Linked DNA regions of Mus musculus: all the other regions are reported to be linked to region 1. Evidence: microRNA targets listed by miRTarBase, many of them from high-throughput screens and not tested one by one. Region 1 holds a microRNA gene; each other region holds the end of a gene's coding sequence.
The links. Region 1 holds the annotated microRNA mmu-miR-1912-3p (CACAGAACAUGCAGUGAGAACU, at 3,292-3,313, opposite strand). A microRNA usually pairs through its seed, bases 2 to 8, with sites in the 3' UTR of a target mRNA and lowers its output. Matches are read on the target gene's strand: a 7mer-m8 pairs with bases 2 to 8, a 7mer-A1 pairs with bases 2 to 7 and ends in A, and an 8mer does both.

Region 1 (4,928 bases):
TTCACCTGATCACTTGCCAGATTTCCCCTAAACATTTTTTTTTATTTCTGAGTGAAGCCATGGTTTCTCAGTCATTGCTCTACCTGGAACTTCTACTATAATCTCATGTATTAATTACCTATTAGTATATGGAAGCAGCAAAACAATGATATGGGATCAATTATCATTGCAAATAATAATAAAAAGATTGTACTAGTAAAAGTCATATAATACTCTTATGAAGATAGGGTAGAGTAGTAATATGAATATTTAAAAATTGAATGACATAAAAGCAATTTGAATTTTTTTAGTATTCAATATTCAGAACTCACATTTATCTTCTTCTGGTGATTTTCTTCCATGATTTTCTTTTCTTTTTGAAATTATAATAAAGTTGCATCATTTCTCCCTTAGCTTTTCTCCTTTCATACCTCCCTATATATCCTTTCTTCATCTCTTCACATTCATATATATATATATATGTGTGTGTGTGTGTGTGTGTGTGTGTGTGTGTGTGTGTGTGTGTGTGTGTGTATAAACTGTTCCTGCTCCATTTGTAACATGTTACTGATAGACCATGCGTAATACGGGAAACTTAGCCAAGTCTTAGCCAGTGAAGTCATGAATCTTGGCGGATAACCTACAACAATCAGTTTAGTAAGTCAGTATAGTCTCTAATTAAATTCTAAACATTTGTCCTTATGTGCACAGATAAGTGCAGTCCTCACCCTTCATCAAATAAACTTCTTACAACACATGAAGATCATTACAAAAAAATTCAGCCAATCAAACTGCAGAGTTATGGATTGCAGTCCCAGTGGATCCACCTAGTTTGTTTTTAAGAGTCACAGTGCATTTAAATAAGTCCATATTTCTAAAACAGATGATTACTAAATCATTCATCAAACATTTTATCTATATGGATTACCACTCAAGCCCATGTATGTATAAGTAATTGAATACAGAACAGTGAATAACATCTGCATAATTTTTGTACATAGAATGAAAATGAAAGGAAAAAGCGAGGAGAAATTAAAGGAGGAAAATGAAGAGAAGGGCAGGTATATCTAGTTCCTGTCTCATAAATGAGACTGTTGTGGAGCCAGATATTGTGGTGCATACCTTTAAGCAGGAGGACCAGAATTTCTGGGTCATCTTCTGCTTCATAGTCAGTTTAAGACCAGACTAGGCTATTGGGTATCTTGTTACAAACAATCTCAATCAACCAACCAAACCAACAGCAAAACTCTCAGTAGAAAAATCAACAAATAAATAGAAAAAGAGATTGAGGGCATCCTTCATGAAAATTGATAACAATACTAGTTTATATTCAAAGTGGTCTTTACATCATTCATAAAGTAGACTAACCAATTTGTTTTTCCTAATGTATACCTCTAGTCCGATAAAATCAACAATAACAGCTATACCTTACAAAGATGTCATAGGAGCAATTCAAATGTAAAACATTTTATTCCTTGATCTTCTCAGGAAAGGTGTTCGGTTAAAATACATTATCTATTGTCCTATCTCCAGTGGAATTTTAAAATTAGAAACAACAAATGCTATTTTCATATTCAAATTACTTTCAAGTAACTGGCTAGAAATTAAACCTGAAAAGTAGTAAAATGATGGACAAGGTACTTAAAAACATTCTGGATACGATTTACTATAAATAATGGATAAAAACCTTTTGGATAAGTTTTATTATAAATGATAGATAATACATGTAAGTAAAAAAGAACTAAGAGGCACAAAGCCTTTAAGGAACTCACATTATTTCATACTATGTTAATGTAATATGCTGAAGACATTAAGAAAAATGGTTATGAAAAGGTTTTATGGTGATCCAGGAAGTTCTATTTTAATTTATTGACCCTTGTAAGATTACTGATTTAGTATTCCTTTTTATAAATACTTAAATTTCTACAAGAAATGCTTTTGCTCCCATACTTCATATAAGTCCCAGGTTCAAGTCTCTAAATTCTTTGATAATGGGACATGAACTGCGCATCTGTGATCTTTTTAAAAGATGTATTTGATATTATTACAGTTTCAAAAATGATAGTCATTTGTACATTTACCTTATATTCATTCTCTCCCATATAAGATCACAAGCTCTGTTTGGTTTGTAGTTTTTTATCCTCCACATAACAGGTGCTCAAATAAGATTTGTTGCTTCATTTATTTTTTCAACAAATACTTATTGAGGACCTGCTATATGCCAGGCATGAAGAAATATAACGTGTTCTATGTATCCTGACATTGTCTTTAAAAAGTTCGACCATATTTTTCAATATGACATAGAAGTTTCAATATTTCTAAAAAGTAATTACTAAATCATTTTCTTTATAAACCTCCTTTTATCTCTACTTTGTTCTTAGTTGTATCTAAATATAGAGCTGTTGTGTTTCTGACCTATAATGTGTTTTATTCTGGCTCTTCAATTAGACTTTTTAATACATATTTAGTTTGGCTTTGCTTCCTTACATAAACAAGGAGATGCCAAAACAAGAACAAGTACGTTTTAATTATAAGTATTAAATGTGCAAGGATTGCTATGCTTTCAAATCAAGCTAAATCATTCTACTACTCTAGAAAAGTCTTCTATTTAAAATGAATGACATATATCTATTCAGAATATTTTCAATAATAAGTTTCAAATGTAAGAATGAGGTGAGCATCAGGTGACATATTTATTAATATCCCATTAATAATGTAAAACATCTGCATCTAATGTGTCATCAATGTAATTTTTGACACATGGTCATAATATATTTGAAACAAAAGTTTTATGTTGTTGAATCAATGGGATATTTGAGGAAATTGTCTTTCTTTTACTTTGATGCATGTGAATGCTTTGCCTGCGTATATAAGTGCACCACATGCATGCAGTGCCCAAGGAGGCCATCAGAGGGTGTTAGATTCACTGAAGGTGGAGTTAAAAAACACTTGTAAACCAAATTTTGGGTGCTGGGAATTGAACCTTGGTCCTCTGCCAGAGCAACAAGTACTCCTAACTGCTAAGCCATTTCTCTAGCATCTGAATTATTGTTTATAATTCTACTAAAAAGCTAACTTTGACTCTGTGTGAAATTTTAACAATCTATGTAAAGAAGAATATCAAGTAACAAATAAAAATAGAATCAATATGGAAGTTCAAGTAGTGTGTTTTTGAATCTAGGTTGTGGTGTTTGGAGACAGGATTAGTAAAAACCTTTAAATGGATGGTTAGTTAATTAATCTGTACCAAATACAAAGTTATCCTATAAGAATTCGTGGTTTATTCTTCTGGATGTCTTCCAATCTCTATCAAGTTCTCACTGCATGTTCTGTGTATTAAATAAAAATCTACACAGCCCATGCAATGAGCACATCCTAGAGACTAATATGCTTGTGATATGTAGTTCAATAGTTGTTAAGGGGTCATCAGCTTGTTAAGTTAAAAAATATTAAGTATATTTGAAATATTAGTTGGCAAAGTGGAAAACTTAACCAAAGAATTATGGAATATTGGAAATTGAAGAACCAATAGATTAGCAATCTGTCACCCTCTACCATTGCACTACATACTCTTTCAAACCATATAAAGAAAACAAATAGCTACCACAAATAAAGGTTGATATTTGAGAACCTCCTGAGATAACATAAAAATTTATAAACTCAAATAGAAAAGGTCATTGTTCACTACATCCAAACTAAATTCCCTACTCTGGTTAGTGATCCTGTAGATAGATGGTTTTATGAGAAAAAAAAATATTGGACATAGGAAGAAGGAAAACCTGGATTACATGTTATATTTCTCTGAATTTGTACAAATTAGTTCAATCTCTGGGTCTCAGTTTATACCTATTAAACAGGGACATCAGTAACTAAATTTGCTATTTTTTTTTCAAAAGATAAAAGACTTTAATAGGTCAAAGATCTCTGTCAATTATAAAAAGTTAAGTAAAACTGGTTCTTGGTCTTACCTGAATCAACGTATTTTCCTCATAGGTCTTGTTTTTTAATATTTTTTGTGCTGTTTTTTTTTCCTGAAATGTTCCCAACAACTTTTATGTTATTTTTCAGTTCCATGACCCTGAATTAAATGTTAGACTTTATGGAGTAGCTATGTGATGACTAATTACCTATTTTTTTTTTTAATGAACAAGTTTCTTGCAATGCAGTTGTCTGGAAACAACTAAAGTCCTGGCTACAATCAAATTTAGAATAAATAGGCAGGACAGGGAGAGAGTTAATAAGGAAGTGAACAAATGCACAAGATAATTGCAGAAGAATAATGCTGTAAAAATACAACAGAGCCAAGTAAAATAAGAGACAGAGTTTAAATAGTGAGGGTTGCTGGTGTATGTATCATGGGAGATTAATGAAACAGTCACACATAACCTGGGACTTAAAGAATGAGGAGCATCTAGGCAACTGAAATAATACTGTTACAAAGAGAACATCAAGAGCATGTGACTTCAAACTGGGTGTGAATTACTATGGCTGGGGAAAGGAAAATGCCTGAGGTCCTATCGCTGAGCCCTAAATACTGCACAGTTGTAAATATGGAATGGTGTGCTAAGACAAGTAAACAAATCTTCACTGATGGTTTGGTGGAGTTGTTTTTTGAATCTTATAAATATGTTCAACATAGCATCACCAGGAGCCTTAATATTTACTTGCTAAATGATCTGCAAAATGAACTTGGGTTTGAAAAATATTTTGGTTTAGTCCCTATCATTCTAAAGACCAACTATGGATTATATTTAAATGAAACAATTTGGGGAAAATAGAAGACTACAATGCTTTGCTTCTTAGTTGATGTATTAGTATTCTTTTAGAGCCAAGATTTGTTAACATTGAAAGAGTTGAAATTGACATACATTAAGCTATAAATTATCACTTTAATAAACTCCCTTGATATGTGATAGTCTCCACTTTCATATTAGAAAAGGCAGAATTGC
Region 2 (4,928 bases), not on the chromosome of region 1:
TGTTCTCCATCCACACTAGGGGTAACGTAGTCCTAAAGAAACAGAAGAGGCGGCACCTGGAACCTTTGCCAATAGTCCCTCCTCCTTTAATGATTATGGTATAGTAACTGATGGGCCTCATCTTGAGTCATTAAGAAAGGTAGTAGTTTTTGCTAGAGTGCTTTTAAGAGGGAGGAGGAGTACAAAATCAGTAGAAAAAAATGTGAAGTGCACGAAGCCCCTGTGCTCACGGATAAGCTCTAGGGAAACCAAGAATGTTTAACATGCAGAGTTCTCTCCTCAGTGGAAGGACCTGGTTTCCATCCAGAATTCCAAGGGTGGGTGTGGTTAATAGCTTGGTGACCTCTTCACTATCTGTATGGCCAGGCCATACCTGATTCCTGTTCCCACAAGCAGGACTGATTCTGTAGGGCCAGGCCACACCTTCCCCCACCCTTACAAACAGGACTGGGGATGGTTTATAGCCTTGTGACCTTTGTACCACCTGTATGACAGAGACCACTCTAGAGCCTCCTCCAGACCCACGCACAGGCAGTGTCTCTGTAGAATCCATCTTCACGGAAGAGGTAACATGCTTTGAAAAGAATTTTGAAGTAATTATGCCTTAAGCTTTATTGTACATATGAGATCATGTTATACTGGGAAACTTGTAATTTACTTAAATACACCTAAAATTGTCTAATGTTAGACTCTAGAAGTTTGAACCAACACTGACTACTGAGCTGTGTTGAACCAGACTCCCCTCTTGCCTCATTACATTCTGCTGGCTACGGTGTTGCAGGGACCCCCTCCCTAACAGGAAAATACCTTCAACATGCTGATATTTTAGAGGAAAATGTAGAACTGTGTTATGGGGAAGCATCAGCCAGCTGTTCAGTGCTTTTAGACGGATGGTTAGATGCTCCAGAAATGCTGGACAACCAAGTTGTTCTCAGCCACAGTCCTGGCTGCACTCCCTGGCTGACCATCCCAGCTTACCACCGCCGGTTCACACAGCAGACTCTTTCTGATAACGTCGCTGAGAGTGGGTCCATGCTCCTGACATGCTGTGCATCCTCTTCTCACGGGGAGGATAGCAGGCTAGCTCGCTCACAGCGGCTCCTTCTTTGCAGGGTGATGAAGAAGTACGACAAAAGCGGCAGGCTGATCTGTAACGACGTGGACCTGTGTGACTGCCTGGAGAAGAACTGCCTGGGATGCTTCTACCCGTGCCCCAAGTGCAACTCCAACAAGTGTGGGCCGGAGTGCCGCTGCAACCGCCGCTGGGTCTATGATGCCATCGTCACCGAGTCTGGCGAGGTCATCAACACCCTGCCATTTAGTGTTCCTGACTAGGAGATGTTATGCATAGATTCACGGCTAGATTCACCCCTCTCCTCTCTCCCCTCTCCCCTCTCCCCTCTCCCCTCTCCCCTCTCCCCTCTCCCCTCTCGCCTCTCCTCTCCCCTCCTCCCCCCTGCTCCCCTTTCTCTCTGCCTGCGTGTGCTTTGTGTGTGAGGGTGTGCATTTGTTTGTTTTGAAACAGGGTCTTATTCTGTAGCTCAGGCTGGCCTTGAACTTATGGCAATTCTCTTGCCTTAGCTTCCCAAGTTGTATTAATTTAGGTATAGTACATCATGCCTGGCTTCTATTCCTTCTACATGCATGCATGCATACATACATACCAACAAACATTCATGAATGAATGTATGGCCCTATAGAGAATATATTTTATATATGTACACTTTTAAGTCAAACTTCTTTCTCTTGGATACGTGTTGGTGCAACAGATGGCTGTAGACCAGACAATCATTGTATAGACCCTCTCAGCTTCCTCAGCTGGTGACCACAGGCTGCAAGAGTGGACACTCAGGCTTCCTCATTAGCAGCACTCTCAACTCTGCCTTGAAGCTACACCTCTCCCTTCTCAGGGTGTCTGGTCGAGAACACCGTAATTTTAAGGTTTGCAGAACTCTGCATCTGAAAAGCTGTTACCTAGAACATACAACCAAATGTATGTTTTTCTTAGAATGTCACATATTACTAAGAAAAGCCAACTTGTTCTTTGTACTGTATATCTTTAGTCTTATTTTTTTATATTTTAATGTTCAACTTAAATTTGGTAATTACAATATTTTTATTACCAAACATTCATATTGTACTAAATTGTATATAGTTTACTAAATTGAGAAGCAAAGACTTGAATATGCTAAAAGTCTGTGACTAACCCATTTCCTTACTGGATCAGTATTTCAGGGTTTGTTTTTTGTTTGTTCTTTAAGGAAGTTAGCCTTCAGTGATACCCAGAGTGGCTTGTATGTTTACTAGTTGGATGTATGGATGGGCAGCTGACAGAAAGCATGACGTGGCTGGCTGTGTTCTAACATATGGTAGCAGGTATCTGGAAAGTTGAATTCGGCCTTCTATGTACTCATTTCTTTGTGCTCATGTGCAAGTGTGTGTGTGTGTGTGTATGTGTGTGTGTGTATATCTTTTGTGAACTTACGTACATCAGTGCAGGTGCCTGCAGAGGCCTGCGATGTTGGGTTCTTCAGAGCTTGCGTTACTGGCTTTTATGAACCACTTGAAATCAGTGCTGGGAACCACCAAACTTTTCAAGAGCAGTATGTGCTTTAAATAACTGAACCATCTCTCCAACACCAAATGTACTAATTTTCCCCATTTTGAGTCAGAGTTTCTTTTATGTTCATTGTCTGGGGGGCTCGCAAATCCTCAGTTACTAACTTAAGGTCTGTACTGTGACTCAATTTACATTTGAAACGATTTCCCAGATGATATTGATGTCACAGGCCTGGGGGCCATGTATGAAAAGCACTTCTTTAAGTTACAGTAGATATGTAATGCAAGGAAGTATTTAAACAGTGGGACTTAGTGACTTGGTACTATTTTAAACCACCAAGAATTCTGTTTTAAATAAATGTGAAGTGTTGAAAGCTGGGTTTTCAGGGTTTCTTTTTTCCTCCATGTTTTGACATGAAAATCCCAAAGATTTTACTGTGCCCATGGGACTCCTGACACATAACAGGAGAATGTAGGTTCCCTGCTCTGTTTCCCACAGTTTACCCGCTTTTCTGGATTCCAGTTACTTTTGTGGCTGCCTGTTGAACCCAGGGCTTTGTGCATTCACAGTAAATGTTTATCACTGAACTGCACCCAAAATTCTCAAGTCACCTTTTTGGAGTATCTATGCCCTAAGCCAAACACTATGCCAAGTGTCTCTCATTTTGTGACCATCAGCCCTCACGGTCCTGAGAGAAAGGTGAGTGAAATCACACAAGTCACATCTTTTGGAAGCTCACTGAGGCTAAAAGGATGGCGGTCCCTTTCACTTATCCATTTTCTGAATAGTGAACCTGCTGTACTCCGTGATGACTTATTTAGTGTGCACTGTTTCAGCTCATGGGAAGGATGGATAGGTCGAGAAACACCCAGAAGTTGTTCTGTGCCAGCCATTGATCTAGATGCCAGAGACAGCACTGTAAGACTCCAGGGAGCCCCCTGGGTGAACCACGTCGAGCCAGGATCGATGGAAAAAGCAAGAGGAATTTATTGTTCCAGTGAACTGAGGTCGTCCCAGACCCAAAGGAGAGGCAGCGACCCCCAGCACCAGTTCAGCGAGTTTTTATATGGTTTCCAGGGGCAGAATAGAGCATCAGCAACTAGGCACAATATGATTGGCAGAACAGTGCACCCTTTAAACTGGTCTTTAGGCAATGAGGTGACAAGGACTTCCCTTGTCTGAAGGTGAGCAAGGAATGAACTGTCCCCACCACCCTGTGGTCTAAGAAATGCTAATTAGTCTCTCTCTTTCTCTCTCTCTCTAGAGAGAGAGAGAGTGTGTGTGTGTATGTATGTGTGTGTTTCATGACCTCCCCAAAGTTCCTATGCTGACCTTTTCAGTATCAACCAAAATCCACCTTCTCTCTACCTTCATGGAGTTTTGTGCACTTAAACCAAACCATTTTCATTTTTGGTTCTTTTCATCCTGCCTTTACAACTGAGTTAATGTAGCCCCAATTAAATAAGCTGGACCGAGGGAGCATTCATGAAAAAGCTAGCAACCCTGATATTGTTCGAGATAGAATTTTATGAAGCCCAGGCAGACCTAGGACTCCCTGCTTAGCAGAGGACGACCCCAACCTTCAGATTCTTCTGCCTCCACCTCCTGAGAGCTGGTATTAAAAGTGTGTATTACTATGCCATGCTAGAGACAGAACCCAAGGCTCTGTGCATGTTTGCACACCCTCTACCAGCTATGCTAAGTATACCCCAAGCTTACCCCTGATCATAACACTTGCCCTTGTAACACACCATGCTAAGTTGGCCAGCCCATAATCACATGCAGGTACTTTTAATAACATTCCTTTCTGAGCCTGCTCCTACTCCTCCAAATCAGCACTTCAGAACTGCGGCCCAGGCAGTGTTTCCTCAAAGCAGCTTCCTTGGTGAGCCTCCTGGTGAGTGTGGAAAACCCTCCTTCTGTCGCCAGTCCCCACCATCATATGTCATACTAAAAACAAAGTGACACTATTCTATTTCCTCTTGCCAGTCTCTGTTAAGCAGCAAGGTAATTTGGCCTTAACTGATCTGTCTTGATAAGTAAGTGTATTAGCAAGTTATATTTGCAGCTTTCCCAGTAAATCCAAAAATAAAAGAAGAACAATTCCTCAGCAGACATTGCCTGCTATTTACACAGAGCCTAGTAAAACATGGTTCAATGCAATTTTAGAAATCAGGTTTGTAAAATATGACTTTAAGAATCAGGTTTATGAAATACGATTAGAAATCAGGTTTATCTCATTCATCTTGATTGAATTCGCACTAAATGGGTTTTTGAAAAGCCTCCTGCACTAAGTAATTTTTGCAAAAATAAATTTTTGTGACTTGACAGAAATTCATTTTGTAAGTATCTAATTTTGATCACGGAC
Region 3 (4,928 bases), not on the chromosome of region 1:
TCAGGTGCTGTGAATATTATCGTTTAGATTCTTTGTTTCAGACATTTACAGGTACTAAGAACAATGTCAGCTTATAAGTTATGTGTAAATAGGCCTTGGACTAGATTTGTTCCACGGTCATAGCTTGCTCTCTACCTTTGAACATATACTCAGCAGAGTGCTTGGAAAGTCAATACCCAAGAAGTGAATTGTGATCTGTTTCTATGAAGTCACATGTGGGCCACATTCCTGGGTACCCAGAGAGAAGGTGCCTGGGTTTCCTGGATCTTAGGGAGCCCCATAGGCTGAGTATAGCCAGCTTCTTTGTGCCCGCATGAGTCCCTGGCAGGGGCTTCGGTGTTTTCTGGCCAAGTCTTGTAGCCACCGAGCATCCTTTCCATGTGTGCCCAACATTTCCCATGGAGTGTGACACTGATGACATTGAGACCCCACCAGGGGAGGACCTCTCTGCCACCCTGTCAGCTGCTGGGTCACATGTCTTCCTGCACAGGAAAAATGATCACAACCTGACTCAATCCACCCATTGAGAGAGTGACATCCACCCTCTCAATGGAAACTTCCCTTCTCATACACAGCTTACTCTCACGAAGGGACGTGAAGGTTCTCGACAGCACAAGATAGAAATTTTGTCACATAACCAACAGTTCAGGAAGTCTCTGTGATTTCTTAACTTATGCAACCCATATAGCACAAAGATACCAGTTTTGAGAACATTATGATGCAGTTGTTGGTTTTTTTTTTTTATAAGAACAGATTAAAAACTTGGGTATGAGAAGATGGCAGTAAGTACCATAATATATTTTGCACAATTTCTTGATACTACCAATTCTGAGGAGATATGTGGGTGCCCTGCTAAGGCTCAGCGGCCTGTATTTTCTTTGGGGTCTTTGTCACACCTATGTAATACCTTTCTTTCATGCCTATAGAAAGATCCTACAAGGGGCTGGTGAGATGGCTCAGTGGGTAAGAGCACCTGACTGCTCTTCCGAAGGTTTGAAGTTCAAATCCCAGCAACCACATGGTGGCTCACAACCATCCGTAACAAGATCTGACGCCCTCTTCTGGAGTGTCTGAAGACAGCTACAGTGTACTTACATATAATAAATAAATCTTAAAAAAAAAAAAAAAAAGAAAGAAAGATCCTACAAAGAAGGACAGAGGGACCCTGGAAGATGGGCAGCAGGGCTGTGCCACCTGGCCCCTCCAGAAACAGGGACTGCTTGGAGTTGTGTATTCTATGGTGTCCTTGTTTCAAGAATTCCTCTCAGGCCATGGCAAACTGTTGAGCTGGGTGGGCATCCAGTTCTTGCCTCTGCCCAAGTGCTGCATGGGTAACTGATTACATTGTTAGGCACAGTCGAAGCTGTTGGTGTGCACAGTCGTTCCAGTTTGTCTGTCAGAATGGACAAAAGAAGAGCAATGGCCAATTCCACGAGACATCGGAAATACCAGCTACGAATCTGCTTCTGAGTCCTATGAGACCAAAGAAAAATCTTTTGCAGAGAAATCCCAAGGCCTGCTGCTGCCAAGCATGTTGGCCTTGTGGAAGCCGTGGAGGACAGATCTCCGACCCAAGGCTATTGTAGTGGGGACAGCCTCCTGGGAAAACCTCTGTCACCAAGAAGCTCCTCAGGGCTGCAGACACCCTCAAAGGTCTCCTTGGAGGTCAGGCTTGCCAAGCAGTTAGAAGGTTCACTTAGTGCTGCTTCTTAAACCAGGGCCAGTCTCTGCTTTGGCCCTATCTGCCCAGAGACCCCTCCATCTGCTCAAAGCTTCTCAGATGTTTCTCCCCAAAGCACAGAGAAGGACATGTTTCAATACACTAAAGCACCAGGGCAGAGTCCTCTTGAACACACTGCCAGGCAGCAGTAAGCTGGGGCAGTAAGCTGGAAGGACTCCTCCCACTACACCTAGCTAACACTGTCACTGACTGGGCATTGGGGATAAACTACAGGCTTTGCTCCAGGTAGACAAAGAACAAGAGATACTAAAGTGGTCACTCTCTGGCTCTGGCAGGCAGCTCACCAGGCCCAGATGGAGAAGTTACTCCAGTGACCATGCTAGGAGGGGTAGGAGAACTAAATTTCTAGGAGACCCTGTCTGGAAAGGTCCAGCATCTTCAGCTATGAAAGCTGTTCCCTCCAGATCAGAGACTAGGGTCAGGGAAGGGCAGCAGGCTACCATGTAAAAAGGGGACTGCACATGCTAGGCCTCTCCTGCCCACAAAGAAGGCTTTGCTGGCAAAGAGTTGGAAATGGGCAGGGGAAGATTGTCCCCCTCAATTCCCCAACTCTGGAGAGTGTGGGCGGAGCTTTGCATAGCAAGTACAGGGCTGGGGTCTTCCAATGAGGAGGGCAGACAGTGGATTTGTTTTGTTGACTTTGGTTTCCTAAGTCAGTAGGTCTGAAATTACAACTCAACAAAATACTGGGGCTCCAGATTTCCCAGAAATGAAGCCAAAAACAACATAAAGGGGGTGCAACAGGAATTCTCAGAAAATATCTACTGACCACTGGGTGTGTGTGGCACGCTTTATTTCTATAAAACTATTACAAAATATTCAAAAATACATTTTAGTAAATTTACAGCAGTTACTTCTCAGTTTATTAATGCAAAAACATCCTTGTTTTTCTCTGTACAAACTACAGGCTCCATCCTCGTGGGCTCGCTGCTAGGTGCACTTTTAAAAAATATTATTTTCTAATAAATTCTTTGAAGTTAAAAATAACAGAGTTCTTCCAGTCTGTCAAAAAAAAAAGTGTATATGTGTGCGTTAACAGTCTTGGTTTCCAAGAACATGACAAAGTGGCGGTTACAAAGCAAATACAAACCAAGAAGGCAGTACAGAAGACGGCTATTACATTGGAAAATAGTTAAATTAAAATAATATATTTTCATATTTTACACTTTCAAAAAATGAAATGTCATTCAGTTAGGTATTGATCTCTCAAAAATCTAATTTACAATTCTGTGTATAAAAATATAATTTGTGGACCCCCATGGAGCAGGTTTTAGTTTACACTTGCGGGAAAGCAGGAGCATAGCAGGAGAGGAATGCGGAGGTTTGCCTTCTGAAACGCAGGACAAGGGACATGTAGAAAAATAGACTTTCAGCAGGTTGCTTGGCCTCACAAAATAATCTTTCCCTCACTGTGAGTACAGTTCACACAATAATAAATTATCCAAGACACAAACTAGTTAAGGCTCTTGAAGGTCCGTTCATATTTTTAAAACATCTATTCATACGAAACAAATAAATAGCCAGGAGAGGAGAAAAACAACCCATATAAGACAATAACGAAAAATTTCAAAAAAATATATAAACTAAACATAACAACAGAACTCCCCGGGGTTTTTGCTTCCTTATAGTCTACTTTGGACTGCCCTACTTATTATTATTATTATTATCATTATTATTATTATTATGAATTATTCTTATAATTAAAAGTCTCCTTCCGTGCGCTTTCCCATCAGTTCCTTATTTCGCAGTCGCTCCCCGCCCCGCCCGCCCCTTGCCCGGTCCCGTCGGGCTTCAGCTGGACTTGACCGCCATTCCCAAGGGATGCATGGTCTCGCTGTCCAACAGCCAGGTGCCAATGTGGTAGAGCAGCTGCGAGTACCAGTGGATGCCCGCAGTCGGCTCCGCGCCCCTCGCTTCCGTTGCAGATTGCGCTGCAGGGATGCTGCCCCCGCCCCCGCCGTCCGTGCGGGCGGGTGCCAGCGCGGCCAGCAGCGCGTGCGCCAGGCGGAAAGGCGCGAAGGCCCGGTGTGCCCAGCTGTGCTCCTCGATGACAGCGTAGCACGAGGCGAGCACCCGGTTGATGAGAATGGTGCCGTGCGCCGTGAGCGGCGCGTACGCGCCCGCCTCCTCCTCTCGCAGCGTCACGCTGTGCACCGCGGCGGGCAGCAGCCGGCGGTCCCCGCCGCGTTCAGCCACCACGTACACGCGCTGCCCGGGGCGCACGCGGCTGGCAAAGAGCGCGCTTGGCCCGGGCGTGGGCCCCGAGTCGTTGTGCGGCGCCACGAAGAGCAGGTGCGCGGCGGTGAGCAGCAGGCGCTCGCGCGGCTCCAGCGTCTCGATCACGTAGAAGACCTTCTTGGCGCCTTCGTCGCGGTCCAGGAAGGTGAGGAAGTCGCTGTACAGCAGCCGGCCCTGGTCGTCAGCCGCCAGCACGCGGTCTCCGGGACGTAAGTCCTTCACCAGCTTGGTGCCGCCCTGCTCCAGGTGCACGGTGGCGGATCCCGGGAAACAGCCGCCGGATTTGGCCGCCACGGAGTTCTCTGCGGAGTAGAGAGAAAGACCAGGTGTTGAGTGCCAAAGGAGACAGGTACACCGGGTGCGTGTACGAGCGTGTGTGTGTGTGTGTGTGTGTGTGTGTGTGTGTGTGTGTGTGTGTGTGTGTGTGTGTGTGGCGGCGCGCGTTCATGTCTCACTCGGTTGGACCAGGGGCGCGCTCTTTGGGGTGGAGAGACGGGGGATAAGGGTGGGAGTAGATCTAGACTGGCCCGGCGCAGACTGCCCTATGCCAACAACCCCAGCGCTCCAATAGCTAAAGTCAGACTCAGGCGCATTCCTGAATGACCCTCCAAGATTGCTCCGCTGGGTAAAAGTTAGCCGGCTGTCTGCTCCAAGAGGCACGGGACACTCCCAGCTTTTCTCCAGCCTGGGGCCCTGCCTTCTCCCTCCCCTTCTTTGCACCCAGCCACGTCGCAAACCCAGAAGGATATTTACTCTCCACTTGGATTCCTCAGGAAGCCTCCTTGAGCTCGCACGGGCGCCAGGCGCACCCTCCTCTCTCGCGCCCGGACAGCAGGGCGCAGCGCCTCCCTGTGCGCAGTGCTTGGAGGCTGCGCCGCGGGAACCCGAGCCGCCCCCGCCTCCCGCTTCCCCAGTGAGGGACTTGGTGTTGGTCGGTGGATGGCCAGGG
Region 4 (4,928 bases), not on the chromosome of region 1:
TGTGTATGTATGTATGAGACCCGTGTATGTATGTATGTATGCATTGAGACTGATGTATGTATGTATGTATGTATGCATTAAGATTGGTGTATGTATGTATGTATGTATGCATGTATGTATGCATGTATGTATGCATGTATGTATGCATTGAGACTGGTGTATGTATGTATGTATGTGTGTATGTATGCATTGAGACTGGTATATGTATGTATGTATGCATTAAGATTGGTGTATGTATGTATGTATGCATGTATGTATGCATTGAGACTGGTGTATGTATGTATGTATGTATGCATGTATGTATGTATGTGTGTATGTATGTATGAGACCGGTGTATGTATGTATGTATGTATGCATGTATGCATTGAGACCGGTCTTTCTACAGAGTCCTGGCCGTCCTAGAACTCCCTAAGACCAGGATGGCCTTGAGCTGACAGAGGTCCATCTGGTTCTACCTTTGGAATGCTGGGATTAAAAGCATGTACCCACCACCCCCAGCTATTTTTATTTAAATTACTCATATATGTGGGGGGGGGCATATTTGAGTTCAGGTGGTGCCTGTGGAGTTCAAAGAAGAGCATTGGGTCCTCTGATGCTGGAGTCATGGGTTCTGGGAACCAAACTCAGGTCCTTCCCAGAATCAGCGCATGCTTCTGTCTGACCACTGAGCCATCTTCCCAGTCTTATGTGTTTTTTGCTTTTTTGTTTTCCTTCAGCAAAGAAGTTGCCATTCTCTGCAGTTTTCTGCTGGGTCTGGGAGACAGCTGCTTCAACACCCAGCTGCTTAGCATTCTGGGTTTTCTCTACTCGGAAGACAGCGCGCCGGCCTTCGCGGTCTTTAAGTTTGTTCAGGTAACTGGGTTGTGCTGCAGTCGGTTTCCTTCCCGTTGTCCTCGGTCACTGGGGGTTTAAATGAATGCTGGGTGTCCTGTAAAGGGGGGTGAGGAGAACCAGGCACAGTGGGCTTGCTTAGGTGAGAGGCTTTAATTCTGGTCTCTGCACTTGAGTGAATACTTCCTTAGGTACCAGCCCCATCTCTCCAGAGAGTCTCAGACTTCTCATCACTTTATTGTACTATTATAGTGCCACAGCTTACTGGATTATTGCTGTCAGGCAAGTTGGGGTGCATTTGTGAGCTGGGGACCAGTGAAGTCTGTCTTCACGGGCACTGCCAGTTGCAGATGTCCTTTGGGCTGACTGTGGAGCATCTGAGGCCCCAGCATCCACTTGGTGATTTATCTTGTTTCTTCTAGTCAATCTGCGCAGCCGTGGCCTTTTTCTACAGCAACTACCTCCTCCTCCACTGGCAGCTCCTGGTCATGGTGATATTTGGGTTTTTTGGAACCATTTCTTTCTTCGCTGTGGAGTGGGACGCTGCTGCCATCGTGGCCCGAGGCTCGGACTACCGAAGCATTTGATGAGAAAACAAGTGTCTCCAAGAAACACAGCTGGTCACATGGCAGCTGGTTAAATCCGACGGCCTGTCAGTCTCATAATCGCTAAAGCGAGAACGGAGACTGTGAAATCGGGCGGGGTTGGTAGTAAAGTTTACATATCCTAGCGGCACACGCTAGCGGAGGAAGGGAATCCCGCTCTATCCGTTACAGCTGTTCTGAGATGTTCGTCCACCCCCTCCCTCAGTTCCTCACAATCAGGGCTCCTCCATCCTCATTCTCGAGGAACGATCCAGCCTGGCTCGCCATGTGTCACGAGATCCTTGCTGGCTGTGGAGTATGCCTCACTCTTTCGAAATAGGAAGCAGATGCCACTCCATGTGTGGGTCTGGGAATGACTTTCTGAAACACAGCAAGGATGCTGAGACACGTTGTTTTGAGACAGGATCTCACTGCGTAGCCCAGGCTGGTCTTGGACTTGCAGCCCTCCCCTGCCTCCAGTGTTGGGGTTATTGCCCAACACTGGATTTAAAACGCTCCAATCCTAAGAGTTAGGGTCTTGATATGCAGCCTTGGCTGGCCTGGACTTTGTATACCAGGCAATGCTCCTGCCTTTGTCTCCAGAATGCCTGGGTGGTGAGAATATGCTACCACACACCGCTGAGACTTCAACTTCTCCTAAAATGCTTTGTTGAACAAGTCTTACCTTGTCACTCCCAGCAAGGGGCTGGTTATGTGTAATGAGGTAAAGACTGTGTCATTTGTCAACTAATAAAAGCATATTTAGAGAAGGAAAGAGTATTTACTGGGAGGGGGAGGACTCATGCTGTGGTTGTCCTGACCGTTACAATAAAGAAAACTCCGGCCATCCTCTGTGGGAAAGTGCGTAAGCACTGCAGACTGTCTCCCACAAGGACTGACACTCTTACGATTGAGATATTAAATTAATTAAGCATCTAGATCAGGTCTAACATGTATGTACTGCAGCTTGGCCTCCAACTTGTGCTCTTCCAAGCCACAAACAACCTCTGGCTAAAATTCACCAACTTAGTGTGTATGTGTGGTGTGTGTGCATAAGGTTGTATAACTGCCACCATATCTAATGACAATATTTTATTTTTAAATTCTTTTTTATTTTATTTATTAGTGTATGTGTTTGCCTGTGGCTTGTCTGTATATACATTCTGCCTACAGAACTCAGAGAAGTCAGATGGAGATTGGATCCCTGCGAACTGCATTTACAGGCAGTTAAAGACCACTGATATGGGGTGCGTTCTCTGGTGTCTTAGTTACTTTCCTCTTGTGAAGAGATACCAAGGCAACTTGTTTCGAGACAGGGTTTCTCTGTGTAGCACTGGCTGTCCTTGAACTCACGAGGCTGGAGAATCTGGTTGAGTGCTGGGATTAAAGTGTCCACTATTTCTTTGTTTTGTGTCGATGTACCTTGACGGATGTATTCGCCTAGCTTTCTTGTTTTTCTTCTGTATTAAAAGTCTGGTGCCTGCTTGGAAAAATTACATTAAGATACACAGTCAAGGGCTGGCGAGATGGCTCAGTGGGTAAGAGCACCCGACTGCTCTTCCGAAGGTCCAGAGTTCAAATCCCAGCAACCACATGGTGGCTCACAACCATCCCCAACAAGATCTGACTCCCTCTTCTAGAGTGTCTGAAGACAGCTACAGTGTACTTACATATAATCAATAAATAAATCTTTAAAAAAAAAAAAAAAAAAAAAAAAAGATACACAGTCAAAAAAAAAAAAAGGTGTGCACTACCAATGCCCAGCCAAGGGAACTTGCTTAAGGGTTTATTGGCACTTAAAAGTTCCAGAGGGTAAGTCTGTGACCATCATTGTGGCAAGCATGACAGCGGGACAGGCCTGGGGCTAGAGCAGTAGCCAAGAGCTCACATTTTATCCACAAGCAGGTAGCAGAGAACTAACTGGGAATGGCTTTCTGCTTTAGAGAATTGTCTTTATGTAACTTATGTATATAGATATATGTGTGCATATATGTACACCAGAAGAGAACTTCCCATGGGTCTGCCATTACAGATGGTTGTGAGCCTCTGTGTGGATGCTAGAAATTGAACTCAGAACCTCTGGGAGAGCAGCTGCTGCTCTTAATCATGGAGCCACCCCTCCAGCCCACTTCCAGTGACACTTCTCCCAATCCTTCCCAAACAGTTCCTCCAACTGGGGGAGGGGGAGGAGCATTCAGCTGTGTGAGCCAGTGGGGACCTTTCTCATTCAAGCCAGGACAAACCCCAAGTGCTCTCAATCCTCAGCCCGCTCTGCAGCCCCAGGACTGCAGAACTGTCTTGCATTGTCTCAGCCCTCAGCCCGTCTCAGATGTGGCAGGCACTAACAACCTTCCTATGTCTGGACCTGCTGGATATTCCATAGAACAGAGCCTTCCCTTTAAACGTGACATTTATCTGTCCACAGTACAGTGAGTCCAGCTCAGAGAAACATATCTTGTTTTCCATCACTTTGGGGTTGTTGGTTTTTTGGAGTTTGTTTGGGTTTGTGTTTCTCTCTCTCTCTCTCTCTCTCTCTCTCTCTCTCTCTCTCTCTCTCCTTTCCCCTCCCCTTTACAACCTCCCCACTCCCCTTCAGAGTAGCCTAAACCAAACTGGTCTTGAACTCACAGAGATCTGCCTTCCCTCTTGAGTGCTGGAATTAAAGGCATAGCCATCACACCCAGACCTGTGACTCTGAAACATGCCATGAATCTAGAAATTGTGTAGTTGGTTGGATGATTTGGGGGTGGGGGGCAGGTGAGATTTATTCTTATTATTGATTAGGTGTGTATGCTTGTGTCAGTGTCAGAAGGCAGAGGCATGGGATCCCCTGGAGCTAGAGTGGCTGTGAGCCACCCAGTGTGGGTGCTAAGAACTGACCACACTCACATCTGGAAGAGCAGTGCACACCCTTAACCCATGAGCCTTCTCTCTAGCTCCGTGCTTCAGTTCTTGAGATAGGCTATTGTATAGCCTAGGCTCTCCTCCATCTCACTATGTAGCATAGACTGACCTCACATTCCTCCTCCTCCTGTCCACCTTCTGAATGCTGGGATTACAGACACGCACCACCATGCCTGGCATTTTTGAGTATTTGATGGTAGGGTAGGAATCCGCAAAGCCCTGCTGTCAGCCGCAGTCCTTATAGAAGTCCCCTGTGTGGAACGATGGCGTCCTCCCTGGTTGTAAGGTTTGTTTTGTAAGGCAGGGTTTCAGGTAGGCAAAACTAGCTTCAGATTTGTTATGTAGTTGAATTTGACCTTGAACCCTGGTCCACCTGCTTCTGTTTCCAAAATGCTGGATTACAGGCTTGCACCGCCATGCCAGGCTGAGGTCTGGCTGGCTTTCTTGAAGCTGAGATAACCCCAGCAGCTGGTTGACCCTGTTGTTGCCCTTAGTTCTTTAGCTGAGACAAAAGGATTGATTCAGGCCTGCTGAGATTATATAATGTGTGTGTGTGTGTGTGTGTGTGTGTGTGTGTGTATGTGTGTGTGTGTGTGTGTGTGAGAGAGA
Region 5 (4,928 bases), not on the chromosome of region 1:
TGACAACAACACCAGCCACCACTAAGATGTAGGCCGTGGCTAGGTAAGTGCTTGAGGCCAGCAGACTAATGTAGTCACTCTTGAGGGCCAGTGTCCAGATGCCCACTGCCATGACAGCCAGGCCGGCCAGCTGCAGAAAGTATATACTGGTCACCACATCTGGCCTGGGTCTGGAAGCTGGGACTGAGCCCCCCAGGCCAGGCCTCCAACATGGGGACTAGGGATGCAGGGAGAAATTAGCTCTTCTCACCCAGAAGCAGCAGTTGTAGGTAAAGAGCAGGTACTTGAGGCAGACTGTGCCACATGTTGCCTTCTTCTCATTGAATTCACCCATCCTGGGCCTAGAGGAACGGGGAGGAGGTCAGATGGCCTGAAGCACCAGGCCTCCAAGTAGGAAGAAAGCTATCTACCAACGGAGACAGGAGGAGATCCAGCAGTCCCCGGATGATTGCAGTTTGGAGCTCAGCCAGCTATCTGCCCTCAGAGGAGCATTCCCAGGAACCTTATGAGTCACTTCCTGAACTAACCTCCTCACAGCCAGACACATGGTGGGTTATCATGGAGGACCCCCCAACATCTGCTGACTCACTCCTGCTGGCAACAGGGGGGGAAGCACCAGCAGACCTTCAGGGTACATTCCTGTTGATCGGCACCCCCAAGCATTCCCTGAGTCCCACAATCAGGCTGCTAGGTACTTACCACTCATACCCGTTCCCAGATATGGCAGAGAGCTCAGGCCACCCTAAGGGACAGTTTGTGAGGACTCTGAGCTGACTCTACTACCAGCCAGGGCAGAGACAATAAGATGCCGGTAGGTGGAGCCTGTACAACCAGCTCTCCTCCCGACTGTAGGGGGAGGTCCCAGTTCCACATATGTGAATGTGCCACTCCTCCAGGAGTCCCCTAGTCACACCCTGCCCTAGACACACTATTGTCTGACTGAGGACAGTGTACAGACCTCGGCTGACGCAGGTCAGATTCCCAGACACACACCTAAGCAGAACTGTTAGCCAGGGGCCTTGAGGCTCTGCCCAGGCACCAGCTCTCACCTCTCAAGTCAGGACCAGCAGGTACAGGTCAAAAGTCACTCTCTGCCCTTCACCTAGCAGGTGGGATCTTGCCACTCCAACTACAGAAGCTTAAGCAGTGGTCAAAATGGTTCTCAGAGCCACCAGATCTGCAAGGAAGCATAACAGGCAGGCCTGCTGTTTTCTACTGGACGGCGGCAGGCCAAAGAACATGGCTGACCTGCCTGATCTAGGGAGGGACCAAATGCCTTCTCCAAGTGCCCCACCTTCCAGTCCCATCCATCACAGTCCCTCCCCCACCAAACAGCAGCGACCGCAAACTGAAGGAGGATGCATCGACTGTCCATTTTGGAAAGTGGGAGAGATTTCAGAGCTCTATTTGGAGATGGGACCCAAAAATGCATGCTGCCTCACTGAAAGCGGGCAATGACATAAAGAAGCCTGGCCACAATGCAAACCCCCGGGGCCAGGCTCTAAAAGCCCAGAATCTATGGGCTTTTAGACACATCCATCAACCTAAGCCAAGAGACAATCAGCAGACTGGATGTAAATTCTCTGTGAAAGTGCCGGTGTGAGAGCCTGGACCAGCCAGAAATAGCTCCTGCGGCCTGGACACAACCGCCCTACACTTAGCTCCTGGACCTGTCCTGGGCCTTCGGCACCCGCCCCACCGACCCGATTAAACACTGAAGTGGGCTGGGCGAGGAATCCCCGCGTCACAGAGATGAAGTCACCACCGCCCCTGCCGCCCTCCCCCGCCCCGTGCCAGTGGGCGGACCTGCGGTCTCAGGGGAGGGAACCGGTGTCCAGGGACAATGAATAGGGTGGTCAGACTTTTAAATTTCTGGGTTTCTGCACGAAAGAGACCGTCAGGCCTGCTCAAGAACCACAGAAGCTCTCTCCCTCACCCCTCCCCCTCCGGCCTTCTAACTGCCCGGCCCCGGCGTCGATCTTCCGGAAAGGAGTCTGCAACCCTGTCCTACCTCAGGCTCTGCCTCCTGGGCGTCCCTGAGGCCAGCTTGGAGACTAGGAACACCAGTGAGCGAGGAACTCAGGACACTGCTCCCCACACCCTCCGGCTATGCTTCACGGAGCACTCACCAACCACGCTTTGAAATACCAGCCCCGGCAGCCACGGTAGGAGCGATCACTCGGAGTACAGAGAACGCTCGGCCCGGGGCCTGCGAGGACACGCCCTGCGCGCGACCCCGCCCCGGGCGCAGCCCCGCCCACGGCCGGCCTGGGCAGGCAAGTCCTAACTGGTTTGGTGCTAAGGCGCGCGCCAGAGAGACCTGTGGGTCTGTAAAGTTAGTTTAAAGGTGCCCCGTTTGTCATCAAAAGCCCCAACTCGCCCAGAGACAGAGGAGCTAGACCAGAGGTAGAACCCAGGTGGGGAGCGAAGAGGTGGGGAAGGTGGCACCTAGCCCACCAGAGGTCCAGAACTGAGGTCAAGACCAGTTTCTCTAGTCTAAGCCGGGAGAACCACTCTAAAGCTGCAGGTTCTAGCGGCTGAAGAAATGCTAGAGGGGAAACTCCAGATACAGTGTGGAGGGTGCCAGAAGATTCCATAGAGACATGAGGGCCCTGCGAGAGGTGCCCAGTGTGGGTGGCATATGGTCTGGCTAGGAACTGTGCCAAAGGATGATGGATAAAGGACCTGGACCAGAAAGCTAGCTGACCACGGAGGTGAGGAGCGGGACCTTCCACGTGTGGACTAGCGTGGGAGCGGACACCTGTTGAAACCTGAGTCCTGGGAGCTTCAGCTGGGAGGAATGGGTGAGGGCTTGGTGAATATCCAGAATCACAGAACACACACAAGCACACAGGAACCCCCAGCTGCAGGAACGAAGGGGTTAATGTGCACCTGTAAACCCCTCCATGTCACCTTGTGCCATGGATACCAAGCATGAACCACAAATGCACCGTGGCTCCCAAACACACAAGAGCCAAGGAGTACACAGTATACAATGGCCTTTATTGGTCCTTCAGACAAAGATTAAGGAAGACAGGATAGCCGGGCGTGGTGGCACACGCGCCTTTAATCCCAGCACTCGGGAGGCAGAGGCAGGCGGATTTCTGAGTTCGAGGACAGCCTGGTCTACAGAATGAGTTCCAGGACAGCCAGGGCTACACAGAGAAACCCTGTCTCGAAACCCCCCCCCCCAAAAAAAAGGAAGACAGGATAAAGACTGAAGGACTGAAGGCCTTGACTACTCTGAGGTTAGCTCCTTCAGGCATGGGATGCCTTCTGGGTAGAGCCACACACTTAGCAAGTATCCGCCACCAAGACCAGTCCCTCCTAGGGGCAGTCCTCTGGATAGGGAAGTGAGTCACTCGGGGCTGGTCATCGGGCACTAGGAAGATGGCCAGAGCCTCGTCTGGGGGGCCGAGCCCAGCCACAGCAGCAGCAGCAGTAGATGGGTCCGGGCTTGTGGGCAATAGCTAGAGCCTTCCTGTGGCTACTGCCCAGCAGCTTGGTCTCACAGGCATCTCTCTCATCTCGAAGCCTCAGATTCAGCTCCCTAGAAAAGAGAGGTAGGAGACCGAGGAGGCTAAGATCTAGAGGAAAAAGTGCATGGGGGAGATGCCTTCCCTGAGTCAAGAGGACTACAGAGCCAGCCGCATGAAGGCTATAGGGCAGACATAAGGACTTCCAGCAACATGGGTAGGAGCCAATACTATCTGGAAACTTGAAACCACTTCCCATTAGCCCAGGCAGGCCTGACCCACCTCAGCAGCTCCAGCTGCCTTAGGAGGCTGAGTTTCTCTTTCTGCATATTCCTGGAGACAGCAACCACATCTCTGTGGACAGGAAGGCTGTGATCCAGATGTGGGTTGGGGGGACAGACCCTTCTACCCTCACCACAGGCACTTCACCACACCTTTGGGTTTGCTCCTGCCGACCCTGTGCTTCGCCCTCCAGTCGACTGAGCTGCTCTTGGGCCTGGTCCAGCTGTGCCCGTATGGCCTCATAGGCCCTCTGCAGCTGGATGTGCTGGGCCTGTGCCTCTAGCTGTTCTGCAGCCCGGGCCTGCAGCTGCTGTTCCAGCTGGGGAATGGTGGAATGCTGGTTGGCATGCCACACCCCTCTGGTCCCAAGCTGACCCCTCACCCCTGTGGCTCCTGGTTGAGGACCCCAAGGCACAGATAAACCCGCCCGCCCCCCCCCCCCCCCATGCGAGGACACCAACTTGAACTCAATACGGCTTACCTCCCGCTGCCTCAGGCCTGCGCGCTCCAACTCCTGCTCACGGGTCTGCAGCTCCAGCTCCAGGTGGCCCCTCTGTTCCTCCCGGGGTAGGTTCTGGGATGTACAGCCGCGCTAGAGCCTTCGTTCCGGGCTCAAAGGAGGCAGGCAAGGGTGGGTAGCGAAGGGGTGGAGAGTGCGGGAAGGGGCACTTGCTGAGGCAGAGCAGAGTTCCCTGGACTTGGGGCAGCTTGGACTCCCAGAGGTGAGTCCTCTGGGGAGGAACCAATTCGGGGAAGGCGGAGCCAGAGAGGCGAGCAGCAAGGCTGGGCGAGGCGTGCGCGGGCCCACCTGGCTCTGCCTGCGGTGTCGCTGCTCCCCGAGCTGCTGCTCCAGTTCTTCATACAGTCCGCGCACCTCCCTCTCGTGTTCACTCTCCCGCCTTCGAGGAACCGGGATATCATAGACATGATCATTTCCGAGCCAAGTCTCTGCCCCCTCCGTGAGTCCCCAGACCCCAGGCTAGGCCAGCCCTCACCGTCGCAGCGCTTGCTCAAGACCTTCGCGTTCCCGGGCCGCCGCCTCCAGGCAGGCCGATGCGCGCATCAGAACTTCCTCTAGAGAGCCCAACAGCTCAGGTCGCTCGCGCTGCAGCCCGACCCAGAGGGTTCTCACAGCCCATTGCCTGGAGGATGCGATCAGAGACGGGAGCT

Region 2: the mRNA of Arl14epl is a reported target of mmu-miR-1912-3p. Seed matches in the 3' UTR shown: 7mer-A1 at 1,533-1,539.
Region 3: the mRNA of Shh is a reported target of mmu-miR-1912-3p. Seed matches in the 3' UTR shown: 7mer-m8 at 3,337-3,343 and 7mer-A1 at 2,843-2,849.
Region 4: miRTarBase lists Mfsd11 as a target of mmu-miR-1912-3p. Seed matches in the 3' UTR shown: 7mer-A1 at 2,874-2,880.
Region 5: miRTarBase lists Cracr2b as a target of mmu-miR-1912-3p. Seed matches in the 3' UTR shown: 7mer-A1 at 3,128-3,134.

Annotation. Positions count from the first base shown.
Region 1 is chrX:147,007,878-147,012,805 of GRCm38, reverse strand. It overlaps Mir1912 (microRNA 1912), which reads right to left and starts at 3,365; the gene lies at 3,279-3,365. All of the region lies in intron 2 of Htr2c (5-hydroxytryptamine (serotonin) receptor 2C), which reads right to left. It overlaps Mir1264 (microRNA 1264), which reads right to left and starts at 2,205; the gene lies at 2,120-2,205.
Region 2 is chr18:46,931,294-46,936,221 of GRCm38, forward strand. It overlaps Arl14epl (ADP-ribosylation factor-like 14 effector protein-like), which reads left to right. Exons shown (of 5, transcript NM_001033446.2): 5 at 1,113-2,929. The coding sequence ends at 1,335. Among named protein-coding and RNA genes, the nearest start is that of Arl14epl, 12 kb to the left of the region's middle.
Region 3 is chr5:28,454,323-28,459,250 of GRCm38, forward strand. Shh (sonic hedgehog) reads right to left here. Exons shown (of 3, transcript NM_009170.3): 3 at 2,518-4,281. The coding sequence ends at 3,533. Among named protein-coding and RNA genes, the nearest start is that of 9530036O11Rik, 10 kb to the right of the region's middle. RefSeq lists enhancers at 4,493-4,928, 4,518-4,928.
Region 4 is chr11:116,872,528-116,877,455 of GRCm38, forward strand. Mfsd11 (major facilitator superfamily domain containing 11) reads left to right here. Exons shown (of 13, transcript NM_178620.4): 12 at 717-852; 13 at 1,254-3,133. The coding sequence ends at 1,418. Among named protein-coding and RNA genes, the nearest start is that of Mfsd11, 21 kb to the left of the region's middle.
Region 5 is chr7:141,464,668-141,469,595 of GRCm38, reverse strand. It overlaps Cracr2b (calcium release activated channel regulator 2B), which reads right to left. Exons shown (of 10, transcript NM_001025103.2): 5 at 4,754-4,900; 6 at 4,567-4,657; 7 at 4,240-4,332; 8 at 3,911-4,077; 9 at 3,759-3,830; 10 at 2,994-3,550. The coding sequence ends at 3,373. Cd151 (CD151 antigen) reads right to left here and starts at 2,234. Exons shown (of 8, transcript NM_001111049.1): 1 at 2,130-2,234; 2 at 1,050-1,177; 3 at 251-341; 4 at 1-130. The coding sequence starts at 334. Gm10575 (predicted gene 10575) reads left to right here and starts at 1,825. Exons shown (of 2, transcript NR_152219.1): 1 at 1,825-2,714.